Stegostoma tigrinum: one gene and its partner. The protein of the gene in region 1 interacts with the protein of each later gene in a biochemical or structural test. Links are inferred from orthologs where the notes say so. Each region holds a gene or a part of one and is shown on either strand. Other genes may lie near its edges.

Evidence for each region. The genes of interacting proteins can lie anywhere in the genome.
Region 2: of the proteins of smurf1 (region 1) and mothers against decapentaplegic homolog 5, one has a biochemical effect on the other in vitro, tested with the Homo sapiens proteins (3 studies listed by BioGRID, with this or other methods). The link is inferred for Stegostoma tigrinum from reciprocal best matches to the Homo sapiens genes SMURF1 and SMAD5.

What each region holds. Positions count from the first base shown.
Region 1 is NC_081376.1:11,652,731-11,663,474, forward strand, and holds the start of smurf1 (E3 ubiquitin-protein ligase SMURF1), read left to right. Parts: upstream 1-5,621; 5' UTR 5,622-5,816; coding exon 5,817-5,871; exon of another isoform or gene 5,872-6,030; intron 6,031-6,111; exon of another isoform or gene 6,112-6,334; coding exon of another isoform or gene 6,335-6,335; intron 6,336-10,744. UniProt on the Homo sapiens protein: E3 ubiquitin-protein ligase that acts as a negative regulator of BMP signaling pathway. Mediates ubiquitination and degradation of SMAD1 and SMAD5, 2 receptor-regulated SMADs specific for the BMP pathway.
Region 2 is NC_081366.1:34,599,932-34,610,563, reverse strand, and holds the start of mothers against decapentaplegic homolog 5, read right to left. Parts: upstream 4,256-10,632; 5' UTR 4,078-4,255; intron 1-4,077. UniProt on the Homo sapiens protein: Transcriptional regulator that plays a role in various cellular processes including embryonic development, cell differentiation, angiogenesis and tissue homeostasis.

The DNA of each region.
Region 1 (10,744 bases):
TGGTGGAGAATGTGGTGTGAACTAAGGCATGACAAAGGGAATGGTTCTTGCGGAAGGCAGAGAAGAGTGGGGAGTGAAAGATGTTCTGCATCATGGGGTCACCACCCATTTCGACTCCCTATCCCACTCCCCCTCCGACACATCTCTCTTCAGCTTTCTCCAGTGTTGCAGTGACTAAGAATGCAAATTTGAGGAACAGCGCCATTTATCTTCTGCCTGGACACCCTACAGCCCAGAGGACTCCACACTGAGTTCTCCAATTTTGAATAACCTTGCCACCCATCCCCTGGCTTCCCTTCCAGCCCCATGTCCTCCCTTCAATTCCACCTTCTGACCCTCTCTTCCAGCCACCAACTGGATTCATACACCCCTTAGACCAACCAGGTTGTACCTACCACCAGTGTCTACCTATCACCACCATTCTGCTTCCACTCCTCCCCACTCTATTTGCAGCTCCCCCTACCCCCACATCCAGTCCTGAAGTAGGGTAATACCTGAAATGTTGACCGCTCCTTTCCTCCAGATGCTGTCTGGCCTGTTTGTGTTCTTCCAGCCTCCTGTTTGTCTACCTGGGATTCCAGCATTGCAGTTTTGTTTTGTCTCTTAGACACTCGGGAGCTGTGGAGGGAACAAAAGATGAACTTTGCCCTCACATTTTCTCTCAAGATTTTAATCTAATTTTTGTAATTAAATTGGTCCTGCATTGTGACAACTTACACACATCTCAGTATATTTTCAGGACTACAAGTGAGAATAAATTGCTATTCTATTCTAAATTTTCTGCTTATCAGTTCAATCTCTCTCCAATGCTAATTTGTTTATGTAATGGTCTTATTAACCTGTGTTACATTTTCATGATTGAAAATGTGTTTATATGTGCCAGGTTGCAACCTAAGGGAGATAGACAGACAAACTCATGAAAATAATCTGAACCATCCAGGGTGATCATCTTGGAAAGGAGATAACATCAGTTATGGAAAGTTTATTTTGGGTAAAAAAAAAATGCAGCCACTGTTAATTGCCGTCAGTTTTGTGTCAAACTGCATTCAGTTTCAATCTCTGACAGAAACTTAGCTACTCCTGTATCCACAAAGAACCTATGAAAGATTTCATGCTAAATGCCTGAAATCTGCAAGAAATGTGATCTAAAAAATAATGTTTAATATCTCATGGGCAGGTTCATTATTTGTCTTGTAAATATTTCCACTTGTATTTTAATTATACTTTCTACTGCTGTGCAATTAAATCTGTAAACCTGATATTTACTGCAGTGGGCAGAAAATGTAAGGCATCTCCAGTGGATTACACCTAAAATGAAAAGGCAACTGTTAGGCTTGCGATCTGCTATGTCATTGGTGTCACACAAAGCTTATTGGAAATTCATTGTGCTTAGAGAAATTGTTTTGCTGAAAACACAAATTAAAATTAGGACGCTCCAAATCATAAATACATTATATACACAGACTGTGTTTATTATTAGTTGTGGCTACACATTTGTCCAGCAGAGGTCACTGAACAGCAGCTGGGAAGAGCATTCCTCAGATTTCCTTCTCTTCCTCCCCAATGCTATAGCTCTGCAATGTTTTCTTTTTCACATTTGAATTCCCTTCATTTTGGAAATTAATATTTGAATCCTTTTCCATCAACCTTTCAGAAAATTCAGTACAGATCATCATAACTTTTTTTTTCTGTTGTGTTTCTTCCGGTTCCATTACCAATTTCCTTAAATCTGTTTTTACTCTTATTACTGATCTTTCTGCATAACAAATTTCTCCTTATTTGCTGTCAAAACCTTTCATGATTTTTGACCATTTCTACTAAATCTTCCTTTTAACTTCGCTGACTTATTGAATACTATGCCAGCTTCTCCCGTCTCTCCACATAAGTACTTCTCATTTATAGGATGTCGGTGTTGTTGGCTGAGCCATTATTTACCGCCTGTCCCTAGTTGCCCTCAAGAAGGTGGTAGAGTGATGACTTCTTGAACGACTGGAATCCATTTCAGTGGAGATGCTCCCTAATAACGTAATGGGGGTGAGTTCCAGGATTTTAATCCAATAAAAGTGAAGGAATAGTGAGCTGTTTCCACGTTAAGATATGGAGCGGTTTCAAACATAACATAAGAAACTAGGAGCAAGAAATGGCTTTTCAGCTCCTTAACCCTGCTCTGGCATTTAAAATGATCATAGTTGTTTGGAGGGGAACTTGCAGGTGGTAGCATTCCCATGTACTGGCTGCCCATTGTTCTTCTCGATGATTGATAGTGATCATGATTTTGGAAGGTGCTAAACAGCCTTGCTGAATTTTTTGCAGTGCATCTTATAGATAGAAAATCAGGGAGAACTGGAGAAACACAGGTCTGGCAGCGTCTGTAGTGAGAAAACAGTTAATGTTTCAGGTCCAGTGACCCTTCATCAGAACCATTCTGATCAATGGTCACTGCACTCAACGTTAACTGTTTTCTAACTACAGACGCTGCCAGACTTGCTTTGTTTTACCAAGACACTTGATTTATTGTTTCAGATTACCAGCATCCGCAGTTCTTTGTGCATCTACACTAAAAGACACAACACTCAAGAAGTCCAGCTTCTTGAATGTTGTTGGAGCTGCACCTATTCAGGCAAGTGGAGGAGCATTCCATCACACTCCTGACTTGTGCCTTTATAGATGGTGAACAGGCTTCCGGGAGTGGGGAGATGAGTTGTTTGCTGCAGGCTTCATAGCCTCTGACCTGCTCTGGTGGCCACCGTTTATATGGTTGCTCCAGATTGGTTTCTGGAGTCTTATATCCCTGGTTCTCTCATCTTGTTGATGATAAATCTCCCCTGTATCTTCTCCCAGGCTTTGTGACCTATGCAGGTGGGAAGATGACAAATCCCAGAATCTAATTTGCATATCTCTCCTCATATCTAACTACCTCTTCTACCGCTATTTAAATATCTGCTGGGGAGCTTGGTCTGTACGATGATAAATCAACTGTGGCTTCCTTTCGGGTCAGTTTCTAATCAACGTACCGTGTGTTCAATCTCTGAAATTTGCAATTTTACAAATTATCAACCTTGCCAATTTGATAGATCTACGGTTTTTTTAAAAATAAACTTATCTTGATCAGTGATTCCAGTGAACACTAAATTTAAAATATTCCTGAATATTTAACATTGCATCATTTTCCAAGTCTGACATATGTGAACTGGTCCTGGTTAGTTTTACCTTTTTGGTATTGTGCATACAAATCACTCTTCCTAAGTACCACTTCAAACTGAGAAATACCAAAATTTAGCAGGCAACTTTGAAATGCAGCACAGCATCAAAAGGATCAGCATTGCCAAGTGTTTTGTTTCGAACAGATCAAAATGTTTGGTGGTGGCGGCGTGGTGAAATCAGCTAAAACAAATTTGTTTTTGTTTCAGGTTGATAGTTGGCACAAGGGGAATTCTACACAAGGCTTAAGGGAATTCCACAGAGGTGGAGGTTCTGTTTGCCTGATTCTGTAAGGACTCTCCTGAGAGCTCCCTTCAATCCATAGGTTTCCAGTCCACTCCCAAGGCCAGATAGCTTCAATTCAGATTGACAATACAAAGACTTAGGGAACCTTCCCAACTTAAACCACAAATTTTCTTAAACACAAAACAAGCACTGACCTTCTACAGCAGTACTGACAGAAAGCTGCACTGTCTGAAGTCTTGCAGATATATAACATTTAAACTGAGCGCCACTTTGTTTCTTTCAGATGGCAGTACAATTTCTTGGGCTATTATTTCAAAGAAGAGATAAGAAGAAATAACCAACATTTATTGCTCGAGCAATATCCAAAAACAGTCTATCTGATCATCACCATAACGCTGTTGGACCTTTGTAGTGCTCTGTTTATTTAAGTGAATTTCCAACGTGATGATAATGAGTAAGTGCACTTATGGTTCAGCAAATATGAAACTTTAAGATCCACTGTCTTTTGGAAAGTGAATGTCTTATAGTCTGTTGATTAGCAAATATTTGACCAATGATGTGCAGGCTAGGTGGATTGGCCATGCTAAATTACCCACAGTGTTCAGGGATGTGTAGATGAGGGGGGGGTGGGTCTGCATAGGATGTTCAGAGGGACGGTGTAGACTTGTTGGGCTGAAAGGCCTGTTTCCACACTGTAGGGATTCTATAATCCAAGTAGTTTTTTTAAAATTCTGATGCATTGTATGTTTTGGCAAATATTATAATTAACTAATTTTGGAATGTTCTGCAGTTATGGAAAGCACAATATAAACCTAAGTCTTTTGTGCATTTGGTTGACCTAGTAAAGGGTAGGAGTGGGACCCTGGGAGACAGAGGTCATGTGCTGAAACTTCTGGAGACAATAACAAACACAGAAATAGCAGATGTAGAAAGCTTGCGGTTCGGCTTGTCTTTTGTGGTCTTGACCGTAAACTTTAACGTCTGTAATCGCTGGGCATAGTGATGAGGATGTGGTGGGAACATACCGGACACTGAAAATATAATTTAATTTTAAGGATCTGAGCCATTAGGAAATCTTTCCAAGATAATAAAGTGTGAAGCTGGATGAACACAGCAGGCCAAGCAGCATCTCAGGAGCACAAAAGATGCTGCTTGGCCTGCTGTGTTCATCCAGCTTCACACTTTATTATCTTGGATTCTCCAGCATCTGCAGTTCCCAATATCTCTCAGGAAATCTTTCCAGCAGTCTGGAAAAGAGACATTTAATTTTGATGACAATTTCTTTCGTCCATTCATTTATACGAGCAGACTTTTTTTGGATCAATAAATAGTAAAGATTGGAAGTCACCAACATGTTTCCTGTGACAAACTTCATCTCTGGAATAAAAACATAGATAACAGGAGCATGAGTAGGCCATTCAGCTCTTTGAGCCAGGTCTACTATTCAACAGGATTATGGCTGATTAGTCAAAATGATTATGACTGATCATTCAACTCAGTACCCTGTTCCCTCCTTCTCCCAAGCCCTAAGAACCTTTTCCAGAAAACATTAAATTCTGGCCTCCACTACTTTCTGTGGCAGAGAATTCCACAAGATCACCACTCTGAGTGAAGAACTTTCTCCTATTCTCAGTCATTGAGAGCCTCCTGACTGCATTTATCCTACGTAGCCATCTCAGAAATTTTATAGGGGCTTCTTCACCTCCACCCCAATTCTTCTAAAGTCTAGAGAATACGGGCAGCCTTTGAACTAACTAGGCAGTGATCTGGGCTGAACAGATTCAAGACAAACCAGGACCACAACGACCCAGGGATCCAACCTCTTGATCCGAGGCTTTACTCCAAACCTCGGTGTTGGACTTGACTGGCCACAGACCGCGTTGGCCTGGTCACCTGAAACTCAGCAAATGGGAAAGGGATTGCCTGGCTCAGTGAAATAATTGAAAATATTGCAGCAGGTTTGATTGAATCTAGATAAGACGAAAGTCGAAAAAATTGTGCAAACCTCTTCTTTAAATAAACTAAAACCATGATGGTGCAGCCAGGATAACAAAGTGTGAAGCTGGATGAACACAGCAGGCCAAGCAGCATCTTAGGAGCATCTTATTCGGGTTACTCGTTCAACGCGGAGGCGCGCCCGCGGCCACGGCGCCGTGACGTCAGCGCGCCACGCGGGAGCGCGCGCTGTAGCTGCCGTCAGTTGTGTCTCGTGCGAACGTTGTGGGTCCGTGTAGTGTTTACCCCTGTTCATAGATCAATAATTTTTTTGTTAAGAAAGGCAAAAGATCCGTCGATCTGTTATATATTTTGAACATCAGCGTACAGGAAACGACCACCCCGCTGTGAAAAAAGGGGAATTTTTCTAAGGAATGTCGAATCCCGGAGCTCGACGGAACGGGTCAAGCATTAAAATCCGGCTGACAGGTAAGAGAAGTTCACTTCGGGCAGGTTTTTGAAGTCTCTTTAGTCGCCGACACGTCAGTGGAGGTTGGAGACCGTAGGATCCGGCTGGAGATGTGACAGAGAGTCTGTGAAGGCAGCTCCGCGGTTGTTTGTGGTAGTTGCTTGTTGCCGGTCTGGAGGCGGCGGCTGTTCCCCGTCGGTCCAGACAAGGGAGGCGAACGGCGCGTGCGCACTGGCCACTTCCTGTCTCAGTCAGCCATTGATGGGGAAATGTCCATCTCACTGAGGGTTTATTATTGCAGTGAAACACTCCAACCAGCTGTACTGTGGTTGGGAAATGTGTAGCCCAGATTCAATGTTACACAACAGTGGAAATGTTTTCAGCCGCTGATGTGTGCAACGAGATTTGGAGAACTCAACATACACTGAGTATTGAACCCTTCGGTTGTGAACTTGGTACTACAGACTGTCAGATGCATTTAAAAGTAAAGTCTAATATTTTGTATTTATGCTGTATGTACAGTATTACCACATAACAGACAAGGACGGCTGGTAAAAGGAAACCTGAGCGTTTAATTTGGTTTTAGATTGACTAATTTTATAAATAAATCTTTATGTGTGAAGTATAAATGTATATAAAATGTTTTTTTTATTTAAACAGCTGAATTTTAAAGTTCACAGTGTTCATTTTGCCCAATAGGATACATGTCAGTCAGTGTTGATCATTGATTCAGATTAAATATGCACTGAATTGTTGGAGGTGTGAGTGGTGCCTCCATGTTTGTATCTTGTTTTCCCAACATTTTTCAAACAAATCGTCATGTTTTCAACTAGTTGCCTAAGAAAGCATCATAACTACAGTTTTGTCAGCGCTTTCCTAACATCGACTTAAGTAGTTTTGTTAGCCTTGTATTTAAATGTCAGGGATGAATACATAACGTGGGACTTCACATGGTCTCTGAAGGTTTTTAATATTAATAATTTAAACTGATTACATTTTATCTGTGGTTATTGCTTTGGACAAAAATCAGGTCACCATGGCAGGAGATAAATAATTGTTCCTATGCGTGAAGATATTTTACTCAACTTTACTTTTCATTCGTTCTGATTCCGTTAAGTTGAATTTCTTACCAGTTCAGATTGGCAAAATGTCTCAATGTCTAAATCTTTTAATATTTTGCATTCACTAAGAACATAACTGAGTTTAGTTTGAGGCCAAACTAAGTATTTCAAATCAAATTGTATATCATATATTTTCCAAACCTCCAGGGTTTGTAGTGGTTGATCAACGGGTACTTCAAATGCAGTATCTGTAAATTTTTGATATATTTTCCAAAATTTTGCTCCCCCTTTCCTCATTATTTGTTTTATTTTAGTATTTTGCATTTTTTTCAAGTTCCCTTCTTTTGCATGAAGTAAAACAATTTTTGTTGTACTTATTAACCATTATATTTCATTTCTTGTTAATTTTTTTCAATTTGTTCTTGAACGTAACCCAGCCCTAATTGGTTATTTCTGCTTGAGTCAACCTATCCCTGGTGGTGCACCTTCAATAGTGATGGGGAGGGAATTCCAAGATTTCCTGCCAGTGGAATGAAGCCAACATATATATACTCAGTTTATATATTCAGGCGTTTGACTTGGAGTTGACAGCATAATCGTGTGTTGCAGTTCTTGCTCATCTTGGTAGGGCTGGGAAATGCATTAAATAATCATAAATATGTATTAATGTTATAAACAATAAATTTATAATTATAAACCTCATAGTGGTGGCATGAAATTCTTAAGGGGGAGGATGAGCAGCCAGAGATCGTGGTGTCCTTTGCTACCAACAACGTAGGTATAAAGAAGGATGAGGTCCTGGGAATGGGTACAGGGAGTTAGGAAAGAGGCTGAAAAGCAGGACCTTGAGGTGTAATAATCACTGAGTTACTACCAGTGCCACGTGCTAGTGAAGCAAGAAATAGAAAGGTAGGTCAGGTGAATGTGTGGCTAAGGAGCTGATGCAGGGGCAGAGTTTCAGGTTCTTGGATTGTTGCGACCTCTCCTGAGGCAAGGGTGACCTGTACAAGAGGGACAGGTTGCATCTAAATTGGAGAGAAACCACCATCCTCACAGGGAGGTTCACTAGTGCCACTTGGGACGATTTAAACTCGAACGTCAAGGGGACTTTGAACCAGAGCTGCAGGCCAGAAAGTGGAGGGATTGAGGGGAAGATAGATGTTGGGATCAGTAAATCAGAAAGAAAGGGCAGGCAGAGACATGTAAATGAACAGGATGGCACTAATGAGCAGACGTGTGTTTGTTTATTTCAATGCAAAGACTATTAAAGGTAAGGCAGGTTAGCTTCGAGCTTGGATCAGTTCATGGGACTATGACGTTGCGGCCATTACAGAGATTTGGTTGAGAGGGGGACAGGACTGGCTACTCAACATTGCAGGGTTTCGTTGTTTTACTCAAGGTGGAGAGGGATGTAAAAGAGATGGAAGGAGCTGCATTACTAATCAGGGAGAATATTGCATCTCTGCTCAGAGAGGACATGCAGGAGGGCTCATCCACTAAGGCAATATGGGTAGAGCTCAAAAATAAGATGTATGGAGTCACCCTGCTTGCATTACACCTTAGGCCTCCAACAGCCACCAAAAGATTGAGGAACAAATATGTAGGCAGATTATGGAAAGGTGCAATAAAAACAGAGTTGCCCTAGTGGGTGACTTTTCGTAGAGCAAGTGGCTTAGATAGGGTGGAATTTGTTAAGCGCATCCAAGAGAGTTTCTTGAAACAGTATGTGGATAATCCAACTAAAAGAGAGGCCATACTGGACCTTGTATTGGCTAATGAGCCTGGCCAGGCGACTGACCTTTCAGTGGGAGAGCATTTTGGTAACAGTGAAAGTTTTAAGGTGGATGTGAAAAAGGATAAGTTAGGACCCTATGGGAAGGTACTAAACTGGGGGAGGGCAAATTATGTCAGTATTAGGCAGGTGCTAAAGGTTGTTAACTGGAAGGAGCTGCTGTCAGGCAAGTCCACATTTGACATGTGGGAATTGTTTCCAATAAGAGTTTAGGACCAGCATGTTCCAGTAAGGCAGAAAGATAAGGATGACAGGATAAAGGACCGTTCGATAATGAGGGAGGTTGTGAATTTTGTCAAAAGAGAAAAAGAAGCATATGTAAGATGTAGGAAGCTAAAATCAGACTCCCTTGAGGAGTATAAAAAAAAGGCAGGAAAATACTCAAGCAGGGAATTCGGAGAGCAAGAAGGGGTCATGAAATGACCTTGGCAAGTAGGGTTAAAGAGAATCCCAAGGCATTTTATAGATAGATTTAAAAACAAGAGAACAAATAGGGAGAAGGTAGAACCACTCATAGATAAAGGCGGAAACTTATGCTTGGAGGTAGAGAATGTGGGTGAGATCCTAAATGAGTACATTGCATCAGTATCCATCCGGGAAAAGAATATAGAGGATAGTGAGATTTGTGTGGAGAATGCTAGGGCATTTTGAGATCAAGAAAGAAGTCGTGTTGGATGTCTTGAATGGTATTAAGGTGGATAAGTCCCCAGGGTCCGATGTTATCTACCCCAGGGTATTGAGAGAGGCAAGAGGAGATTGCTGGGGCCTTGACCAAGGCCTTTTTATCCTTGCTAGCCACTGGAGAGGCCCGGTGGACTTGTCAATAGCTAATGTTGGTCCTCAGTTCAGGAAGCGAAATAGGAATAATCCAGGAAACTACAGACCAATGATTCTGTGGTTGGGAAGTTATTGGAGAGAATTTTTAGCAGTATGATTTACAAACATTTGGAAATTAGGGATAGTCAGCATGGCTTTGTGCAAGGCAGGTCCCGTCCTACTAACCTGATTGGATTTTTCAAGGAGGTGATGAAGGTGATCGATGAGGGTAGTGCAGTGGATGTTGTTTATATGGATTTAGGAAGGCTTTCAACAAGATCCTTCAGGGTAGACTTAGTCAGAAGATTAGGATGCATGGGCTCCGCGGAAACTTGACCATGTGGATTCAGAATTGGCTTGCCCATAGAAGACAATGTGAATTGGTAGAGGGGTGTTTTTCAGGGTGGAGGTCTGTGACTAGTAGTGTTCTGCAGGAATCCGTACTGGGACTTCTGTTGTTTGTGATATAGATAAATGACTTAGATGAAAATGTATATGGGTGGTTTAGTAAGTTTGCAGATGATACAAACATTATTGGAGTTGTGGATAGTGTAGAAGGTTGTCATAGGATACAGTGGGATAAAGGTCAGTTGCAGATATGGGCGGAGAAATGGCTGATGACGTTTAATCTGGGTAATTGTGAGGTGCTGCAGTTTGGGAGATCAAAATATTAAGGAAAAGTATTCAGTTTGTGATAGACCCCTGAATAGCATTGATTTACAAAAGGATCTTGGGTTCAAGTCCACGCAAATAGATAGGGTGGCAAAGAAGGCCTATGGTGTTATTGCCTTTACTGGTTGGGGAATTGAGTACAAGAGTAGAATGTCATGTTGCAGCTTTATAAGATTTTGGTTAGGCATTTTTCCCTTGAAACCACGGTAGAGAGTAAAAGTTGCTTGAAGGTGAGCTTTCATGAAATTCTTCAGAAATTCTGGGAGTCTTACTGGTTAATTATCCACTAAGACAAAAAAGAAGTTGCATTTATATAAAAAAAGTGCTGGAGGAAGATGGCAACTGTGGAGACAGAAACAATTAAGTTTAATATTCAAATTCAATACGACTCCTTCAGAACTGAAGAGAAAGTGGAAAAGTGAAAGTACATATCTTAAAGAAATGATAGGGAAGAGCAAGTGGGAGGGTGGAGTGTGTTGAAGAAGGTGAAGGAATCAATATGGAGGACAGACTGCATGGTCTAAAGTTATTGAACTCATTGCTGAATCTAGA
Region 2 (10,632 bases), on another chromosome or scaffold:
TAGGTCAGTCCAGGGAAGACGGACAGGTTAAGGAGGCGGGATGAGGTTAGTAGGTAGGAAATGAAGGTGCGGCTTGAGGTGGGAGGAAGGGATAGGGGAGAGGAAGAACAGGTTAGGGAGGCGGGGACAAGCTGGGCTGGTTTTGGTATGCAGTGGGGGAAGGGGAAATTTTGAAGCTTATGAAGTCCATGTTGATACCATTGGGCTGCAGGGTTCCCAAGCGGAATATGAGTTGCTGTTCCTGCAAGCTTCGGGTGGCATCATTGTGTCACTGCAGGAGGCCCATGATAGACATGTCGTCTAAGGAATGGGAGGGGGAAGTTAAAATGGTTCGTGACTGGGAGGTGCAGTTGTTTATTACGAACCCCCGCAGTGGACGAGAACGCCCTTGACCGCGTCTCTCGCATTTCCCGCAACACATCCCTCACACCCCGCCCCCGCCCCAACCGGATCCCCCTCGTTCTCACATACCACCCCACCAACCTCCGGATACAACGCATCATCCTCCGACATTTCCACCATCTACAATCCGACCCCAACACCCAAGACATTTTTCCATCCCCACCCTTGTCTGCCTTCCGGAAAGACCCCTCCCTCTGTGACTCCCTTGTCCGCTCCACACTCCCCTCCAACCCCACCACACCCGGCACCTTCCCCTGCAACTGCAGGAAGTGCTACACTTGCCCCCACACCTCCTCCCTCACCCCCATCCCAGGCCTCAAGATGACTTTCCATATTAAGCAGATTTTCACCTGCACATCTGCCAATGTAGTATACTGTATCCACTGTACCCGGTGTAGCTTCCTCGACATTGGGGAAACCAAGTGGAGGCTTGGGGACCGCTTTGCAGAACACCTCCACTCGGTTCACAATAAACAACTGCACCTCCCAGTCGCAAACCCTTTTAACTCCCCCTCCCATTCCTCAGACGACATGTCCATCATGGGCCTCCTGCAGTGCCACAATGATGCCACCCGAAGGTTGCTGGAACAGCAGCTCATATTCCGCTTGGGAACCCTGCAGCCCAATGGTATCAATGTGGACTTCACAAGCTTCAAAATCTCCCCTTCCGCCATTGCATCCCAAAACCAGCCCAGCTCATCCCCTCCCCCCACTGCATCCCAAAACCAGCCCAGCTTGTCCCCGCCTCCCTAACCTGTTCTTCCTCTCACCTATCCCTTCCTCCTACCTCAGGCCGTACCTCCATTTCCTACCTACTAACTTCATCTCGCCTCCTTGACCTGTCCGTCTTCCCTGGACTGACCTATCCCTTCCCTACCTCCCCACCTATCTTCTTTTCTCTCCACCTCTGGTCCGCCTCCCCCTCTCTCCCTATTTATTCCACAACCCTCTCCCCATCCCCCTCTCTGATCAAGGGTTTAGGCCCGAAACGTCAGCTTTTGTGCTCCTGAGATGCTGGTTGGCCTGCTGTGTTCATCCAGCTCCACACTTCGTTATCTACACAGTAATAACCTACTCAGGTCACGGGCTGGAAATTGAGGGAAACAACAGGCTCCCCAAAGCCCGTCAGCCATCTAGAAGGCAAATATCAGGAGTATGACAGAATACATTCCACCTGGCTGGATAAGTACAGCTTGAAAAACTTGAAGTCATCCTGGACAAAGCAGCTCATTTGATTAGCACTCATTCACCAACATTACTCTTTCTACAAGTAACAGAGGGGCAGCTGTGCATACCATTTGCAAAATGCATTGCAACAATTCATCATGAGTCCAGTGACAACTTCTACACCACAATTTTTACCATTTTGAAGGACATGGGCAACAAATACAAGATACACCATCATGCGCATTGATTGTAACTACACCACCATTCCTTGAATGTCACTAATCAAATATTGAAACTCCCTTCCTCAGAACAGTGTATTTGCACCAAATGGACTACTGTTGTTCAAGGCAGCTCACCAACTTCTAAAAGACAACAGAGATTAGCTATAAATGTTAGCCTGGTCAGAGAGGCTCACATCAAATGAGCTTTAAAAATTGTTTAGCTTACTGCATAAAATACATCGTACGTCAACATAATTACCTCAGCCACTGACGCTGGATAGAGGGGACATTTTCACCTGTTTGTCTCTTGACAAATTTTTTTAAAAGCTACTGGTGAATTTCAATGAAACTTGGTACACTAATCGGGCATGGCCCAATGAACAAATAATTAGGTTTTAGCAAAGATACAGATTAAATTCTGGGTTTTTTTTAAAAAATCAGTTGAAAAGAAATGACAAATTGCCTCTTTTCTTTAAGAAATGAAAGGACTCAGAAGCAAAAAGCAATGGCCAAATAGCTAAAAGGTGAGAGATAATGGGAACTGCAGATGCTGGAGATTCCAAGATAATAAAATGTGAGGCTGGATGAACACAGCAGGCCAAGCAGCATCCCAGGAGCACAAAAGCTGTTGTGCTCCTGGGATGCTGCTTGGCCTGCTGTGTTCATCCAGCCTCACATTTTATTATCTTAGCTAAAAGGTGATGTTGGCTAATGAAGAGGAAAAGGCAGGAGGAGTATTAAGGCCACACAGTTGGGTAGACCACATGCAATAAAAACAAAAGATTCATGCAAATAATAACAGTACAGAAGTGCAAGACGATAACACTAAACAAGACTGCCTTTGCATTTTTTTGTGGGGCAAGAGAAAAATATGCCTACAAAGGACAACTATGTAAAATATTCATTCTGCTGCTTAAAAACATAATTAGATTACAGTACAATTTGCTCAAATTAATGACCATCTCTATGACTCTATTATAGTGACTCTTCACTTACCCTATGAAATTATAATCATTTAATTTTCACTCTCCATCCAAAAAAAATTTAATTTCCTCACTGATATTTGAAATTCAAGAACTTGGTCTCGAGTATAATTTCAACAGAAAAGTAATACTCGTATATTTTCTTGCAACTTTAAGAAACTATTAGTACAATATACAGTAATGTCTATGTACAATTAACATAAAATATCTTAATTTATTGGTATGATATAAAATTCAATGATTTTAACATTAGCTTGTCATGCAAATTATTTAGAATCAGGATTTTTGAACATCAATAAGTCTACTTATCAGAAGTTTAATTTAAAAGTATCAATTTCAGCACTTTTATATAACACCCAATAAATATACAAATCAAAGTGCATCCATATTAAATGTTATTTGTTACAATAATCTCAAATTATGATGCATTTAAAAAATAAACTTGGATACAAAATGACATTCTATCAGAAAACTTTTTAAAGAAATTTATTACGCCCTAAGGAGGCAGCTTTATTATGTCTAAGGATATAAATTAAATCACCGAAAACTAAAACAGCTTCGAAGTCTGTGAACTACCCTTGAGTTTGGCAAAATCTAGGTAATAGCTCAACGATCCAGCAGCTGCTGTTCTCTTGTCGAGAACGGAACCCAGCATTCAACCCCCACCCCCAGCTTCACTATCATCTGATCAGATTTCATTGTAGCCACCGACAATCTCGACTCTCTTCCCGGGAAATCACACACACCTGTCCCTTTCTCAGGTCTGTTCTAAGGTTGGAACAAACAATATTCGGGAACTAGACATTTCATCCTTTGTTCCTCAAAGCAAAAAAAAACATTTTGATCATCGCCCCCGCTTGGCACAGCGCGCAATGAATAGCCGCAACTACAACTGCGGACGGGGCACAGTACCCACTTCCTAAAACTTTCCACCTCAATTTGTCTCCCTGTGTCCTCCTTCCTCCGCAGCCATTCCGTAAACACAGCCTCTAACCCACTGGAGTTTCGGGTTGGGCCGGGCCGCAAATCAGGAAACCACAGCCCGAATAAAGGCGGCTTCCCCGTGGCCTGAGATGGAGAGGGTGCAAATGGCCGAAATAAAACAATCCAGCTGAGATGACGGGAGGTTTGAAATGGCAGGCACCCCAAAGGCCTCTGCAGCCCGAGTGGGGGCAGCGGGGAGAAGGCAGCTCCCGGGGCGACGCCATGTCCTAGACTTCAGTGGAAAACTTCACAAAACCGCCCGCATTGAGCGCCGCAACCCTTACAACAATACTCCCAACCCGCCGCTGTTCTCCCTGTACCTGGAACTCGACACTTTTCTTATCTTTTTGCTTGGTTTTTTTGTTTCATTTCTTTTTTCCCCTCCTCTCCCGAACTTCCCTCTCGGATCCAGAGAGGAGCTGGCGACGCTCAGACTGCAGGCGGAGCACAGGGAGAGAGTAACCCTCCGCGAGATGGGGGAGGGGGCGGGAAGGCAGACTAGGACATCAAGGATGGGCGGGGGGCTAAAAGAGAGTGACATCGAGGATGAGAAAGGAGAGGGAGGGACATCGAGGATGAGAAAGGAGAGGGAGGGACATCAAGGGTGAGGAGGGGGGTGGGAGAGGACATCAAGGGTGAGGAGGGGGGTGGGAGAGGACATCAAGGGTGAGGGAGGGTGAGAGAGGGGGGCATCAAGCGGGAGGGGAGGTGGGAGAGGAGTACATTGAGTGGAAGGAGGGAGGGATATCAAGGATGCGAATGGGCATGGTGGGGAAGAGAGAGACATAAAGGGGGAGAGAGGGACAACACAGTGGTTAACATTGAATAAACGTTTATTGCATGATTAGATATGAATTAAAAGCAAATTTAATACCATAGCTTGAAAAAAAATGTCATGTTGATGAGATAATAGTGTGAAGCTGGATGAACACAGCAGGCCAAGCAGCATCAGAGGAGCAGGAAAGTTTCACGTTTCGGGTCGAGATCCTTCTTCAGAAATGATGACTTGATTTGGGCAGACGTTTTGAGGTTGCTCTGTTGTTAATGCAGGGGCTGAGGCTTGGATTCATCATCACCACCATCACCTTCAAGTACAGTTGTGGTTGCATGGTTAGAGTGAAAAATAGTTAATCCCGGTGGCTGTGGTTCATTGCCTTCTGACTGTTTCTTTGGGGGTGGGGGGTGTTGACTTAAAAAAATCCCATTTTTACTGCTTTGTCCTTTTTCTTTTTTTCATGAAGCTGTTTGTAGGATGCAAAATAAGATCTTATCCTACGAACTGCTACCCTGCTGTGTTCTGCATTGTAATCTATGTCCTCTAACAGCTACAACTGCTTCTCAATTTCCTTCAGGAAAGAAGACAAAACAGAAGTGGAAAGCTCTCATGGTGCTGTATCCTGGACTTCATCTTCTTCACCTCCAGCTTCCACTTTGCCCTCAGTGACAAGTTGTTGTAAATCAGCTGTAACAAGATGTTCACAGTCAGAGTCAAGCAGCTCTTCAACATCTTCACTCTCCACTTCTTCAAATCTAACTTGCTTTGCAAGATAAACACAATGTTCTTTGATTCTTGGGAATTCCTCTCTCAGATCAAAGCCTTTAAAATCTTTTAAAAATCTGGGAGAAGCTTCTGCCAAACTGCATGCAAACCGTTCCTAATGACATCACCCCTCAGGCCTCTGCGATAATGTCAATTGCATCCTTGATGTTAAAGCTTTTCCAAAATTGAAGAACACTGTCCTTATCCCACTCAGTGGCTGCAATTAGCCTCTTAAATGTGCACCTTAAATAATAAGCTTTAAAAGCTGCTATTGCACCATGGTCCATGTGTTGAAGTAGAGAGTTGTGTCTGGGGATAGAAATAGCATTTTGATGTTATCAGAAAGCTCACTAATGGTGGGTGGATGGATTGGTGCATTATCCAGAATGAGGAGCACCCATGGAATTGCATTATAGCCAATGCAAGTCCGTGTTTTAAAAATAACGTTCCCCTATTTGTCGATCGCATTATAGACAATTCGCATTGCTGGAACACACATAGCAGAACCAACTGTACATCTCAACGATTCTATGAGGAAAATAGTACTGGGAAACACAGTTCAATAGCACCTTTGGTTTCCTAAATCTTTCTACTTTGCAGGTTTCTTATCCTTTACAAGTTCTTCATGCCTGCACAGAACAACTTCTACACTAGTGATTCAGTCTTTCCGTCACTGGTTAAAGGTAATAGCTTATAGTAAATGCAAGAGAATAGTTAGCTATCTTCCAGCGCTTCCATTTTTCACCTTCCAGTTTTGTGTACTTCGCTGCACTGAGATTTGGACATTTTCTGTCCTCCATTCTGGAGGTTCTGCATCAATGTTGTTGTGAGGAAGGATCACCAGATCCGAAACGTTAATTCTGTTTTCTTCTTCGCGTATGCTGCCAGGCCTGCTGAGCTTTTCCAGCAACTTTGTTTTTGTTCACACCCTGTCTGTTCACCTGCCCAACAGCCAGAGGGTTATGTCATGCTGAGTAAAATGGTAGCAGTGCAGTAGGCAATGTTCAGGCTCATCTTCTTTGTCTGCATTTATTTTCCTTTATCTTTATCCTTCTACTGCTTCTTTTTTCTCAGACTTACCTGATAAAGAGAGCTCTTTGGCAGGAGGCAACTTCAATGGGCTCCAGAGCAGTGGCGGCATCTTCAGAGGATGCATGGCTATAGAGTCGGTCGATCAACCTGTGAAGCCTGGAGAGTAACTCTCACTTCCACATGGAGTGGGTTCCTGGTGATGGCATGGCATGTGCTGGTAAGCCCAGAGTGGGAGCCTGGTAGTGCCATTGCACAGAAGGAAAAGTTAGAAACTCTAAGTTATCTTTTTTAAATTGTATTCTATGTTAATGTGAATGGTGCCCAAATGTGATGACAGTACACACTTTTTACTGTATTTTATGTTGAATAAACATGATAATAAAGGATATTCTATTCGGATGACTCCAGGCTTCTGCAACTGATCCTCAATATGTAAAACAATCAAATCCTGTCTCTAGGTGAAACTTACTATGTGCATACTTATTGGCATAACAGCATCTTGAACATTTTTCGCCACTGCTTGAACAAAGCAACAGAGTAAATACAAGTCACAATGAGTTCTAATAACTTGTTTTTAAAGGTACAGCAACTCGTTCCACAGTGCTCGGTTTAAAGCAGACCTTTTCTCAACTTTGTCCACAGTCCAAAATAAAGAGCAATAAAAAGAGTGGCCTTTATGTTCCTTTACCTTTACAAGAGACGAAACGCTGTTTCAAAAAAGCATTTCATCACAAGGTATACATCACATAAACAATAAAACATGAGACTTATTACTATTCATCCTTTGTCCCCTGTTCTGATGCCCGATACAATAATTCAGCATTTCTTAAACCTTTAAAAGTTCTAACATTTTATTGTCAGAACAATGCACCTCTGATCATGTTATCTTTACCAGTAATGTGAATAACCTTAATAAACAATTGAGTCACATTCTATTCCAATGAGGGTTCTCTCCAGCTGAAGAAGGATCATCTAGTCATTGGAACCAAGGAACAAAGACCACTGAACTGACATTCCAATTTTTATCCTTCATCCAATAATCTATTTTTCCCCATTTGTTTGTGTCTGTGTGTGGAGATCTTAAGGGGATTAGAGTTTGATTCATAGTGTTACATGCAAATGATTAATACCTGTTTACCTGTAGTTATAATATAATTAATTGTAATAAATAATCATTCTTGGTTAGTACAGAAACTTGGTCCATACTTTTGATCAACCTTGGCCTGTAAGTCAAGTAAATTAGGTTTCTGTGCACACTTTAAAAAACACTTTTAACATTCGGTATGATGCTGGAAGTAGTGGGGCTCGACTTACAATGTTGGTTGTAACATATTGTTGTAAAACCAGAAAAATGTCCACTTCTTATAGTTTACACTTCTTAAGTAATCTTACTAGATGCTCCCGTTGGTCTTCTTTTAAATACAAGAACACTGTCCTAGTGTTGCTGTGTTGGCTTTGTGTCTGATGTTCGCTTTATAAACTTTGCCTTTCTTTTTACCTCAATCTTTTTGTATCTGTTAGTCTCCATTATTCTTACCACCGGGCACACATCCACATCCCTATCCTCTTCCCTGCAATGATATTGCTTCAACACCTTTACATGACAGAACTGATTCTTCTTCCTGTGATCATAAGTATCTATCAGGTAAGTCACTTTACTAATCCTAACTACCCTTGTATGGACCACTGAACTTTGTTTTCAGAGTTTCACATCACAAAGCCAATCATCTAATCCTTCATATCTTTGAAACACATTCTAATTATAACATGATCATTTTAACTTGTCTTGTGCTACCTCACATACTCATCTGAGTCTTTCCAGAACCATGGACATGTAATTCAACATTGAGGATTCACATTTTTGCCTTAAGAGCTTTTCCTTAGTCAATTTTGATGGATTATCTTATGACCATACATCAGTTCAAATGAATTAAACCCAGAAAAGTAATTTGGGAAAATCACTTGTAGCAAATAGTAAGAAATCAATAGCTTTGTCTTAATCCTATCAGCGTTCATAACAGCATGCCTTAATCGTGGTTTTGAGAGTGTGATACTATCTCACCAAAGCTCCATGAGTGCATATGAAATATAGTTCATAGAATCATTACAGTGTGGAAGCAGGCCAGTTGACCCATCAAGTCTACACTGATCCTCCAAGCACATCTCAAACAGACCCACCACTCCTCTCTGTAACCTTGAACTTCCTCATGGCTAACCCAAGTAGTCCACACATTAGGAGCAAATTGGATTGTAGGAGGAAATCCACACAGACACAGCAGAGTGTGCAAACTCCGCACAGACAGTTGTCTGAGGGTGGAATTTAACCCAGGTCCCTGGTGCTGTGATGCAGCAGTGCTAACCACTGAGCCACCATGTTGCCCTCTTCAATTGACTTCAATTGTTTTAATCCAAACTACTGATAATGACCTGGAAATCTATAGATATCAAGTTAGAATTGTGATCAGATTAAATTTTAATTTGTTGTCCATACCAAGTATAATAGCATCCTGAATCAGTCTCAGCATCAGTATGAGATTTATGTGCGAACTTAATTAACTGTGGATCTGCTGTTTGAACCTAAATTAATGAAGACACGCCAAACACATCTTTTGAATTATTCCTGTTCTTAAAGAGCGTTTTGATGACTCTAACATCTGCTGGTGTTATTACCTTTGCCTCTGGTGGAGGTATTTCTTTAGGCATTGCTCTGGTCACCAAACACAATAGAAAAATACCTGGAACCTTGTAACTGTTCTGCCTCTTTAACCTCACTTGTGCTTTCGATGAAAATAGGGAGAGTTATAGCTTTCATGCCAGCTATCCCCAAGATTTTACTCCAATCACAGGTTGTTTTTAATGACCACAACTACTACTGGTCCAGACAACAACATACATTCCAATCAGAATCTGTACAATGGAATCAGGATACACTCTCCACTTTTCTAGCACCCCAGCTTTCATTGAACTCCCTTGGACTGAATCCTTCTCAAACATTAGAGTTTGAGTAGCCCCATATCCTTAACATATAGCTCTAGCATTTGATGCAAATGGAATTACTTTCCCTTTAGGGAAAAAAAACATTTCATTACACTATTCACCTGTCCTGCACTCGTAGCAATATTTACCTATGATTCTTTAGATGTAGTTATATTTGATCTATGGCATTTTTCAATGTGTTCTTTTTTAGATACATTCTGATGAAGCCAAAATGTTCCATAGACTTCCTCACAACTTCCAAGATTCTAAATAAATGTGTCCCGTTTTATTACAGTGGAAACACTTAGGCCTTCAATTTTCATGTCCACCCTCAGTGCTTTCCTTTCTAAGTGGAGATGATGATGTAGGGGCATCTCCAGTTGTCCATTTTTATCCTGTCTACTTGCCCTCCTTGCACTGTCCCACTTTCTATCCCTTTCAAACATATGAAGGCGATCAAGAAAAGGTTTAGTTTCTGGATAAGCTCATAATCATCAGACATCATTGCTGCCTGTCTAACTGTTGCAATCATTTGATCTTCAACATGGGTTCTTATCACAAATAGACTTCCAATAGACTGTTCACTCAAAGGAATTTATGTATGGTGTCAACTTACAATGCTCATAATCACCTAACATACAACAAGGAACAACGTAAAGCCACGTGGCACTTTGAGCCTACTCCACCATTCAGTAAGATCATGGCTGATTGGATTTTAACCTCAACGCTACATTCTTACATATTCCCGAAAATCTTTCTTCCTCCTAGTAATCGGAAATGTATCTATCCTTGCTTTAAAAATATTTTAAAATTCTGCTTCCACTGCTTTTTGAGGAAGGGAATTCAAAAGACTCAACCCTCAGAGAAAAAATGTTCCTCAACTGTTTTAAAGGGACATCTCCTTATTTTTAAGCTATGACTCTTAGTTCTAGACTCCCACAAGAGGAAACATGCTTTCAACATCTACAGGATCAAATCCCCTCAGGATCTTACATGATTTAATTAAATCATCTCTGACTCTTCTAAACTCCAGAGGATACAGGCCTAGCTTGTCTAGCTTTTTCTTATAAGACAGTGGTTTTAAAACCATGCACCATGGTGCGCCGTGAAATTTTGTACAGAGGTAACAAAAATAAATAAGCTTGAAACATTATTGAATTTGATCCTTCTTTACTTGTTGTGTATACTATGTTGCAAAATTTGCTAGTAAGTCTGTAACCATAGTAAATCTAATTCAATGTGATATTTATGAGCAACTAATTTAGCTGAAAGTTGATTTGCCATGGAATTGTCTGCCTCAATGAAACATGCCGTGCCACTGAAAAGA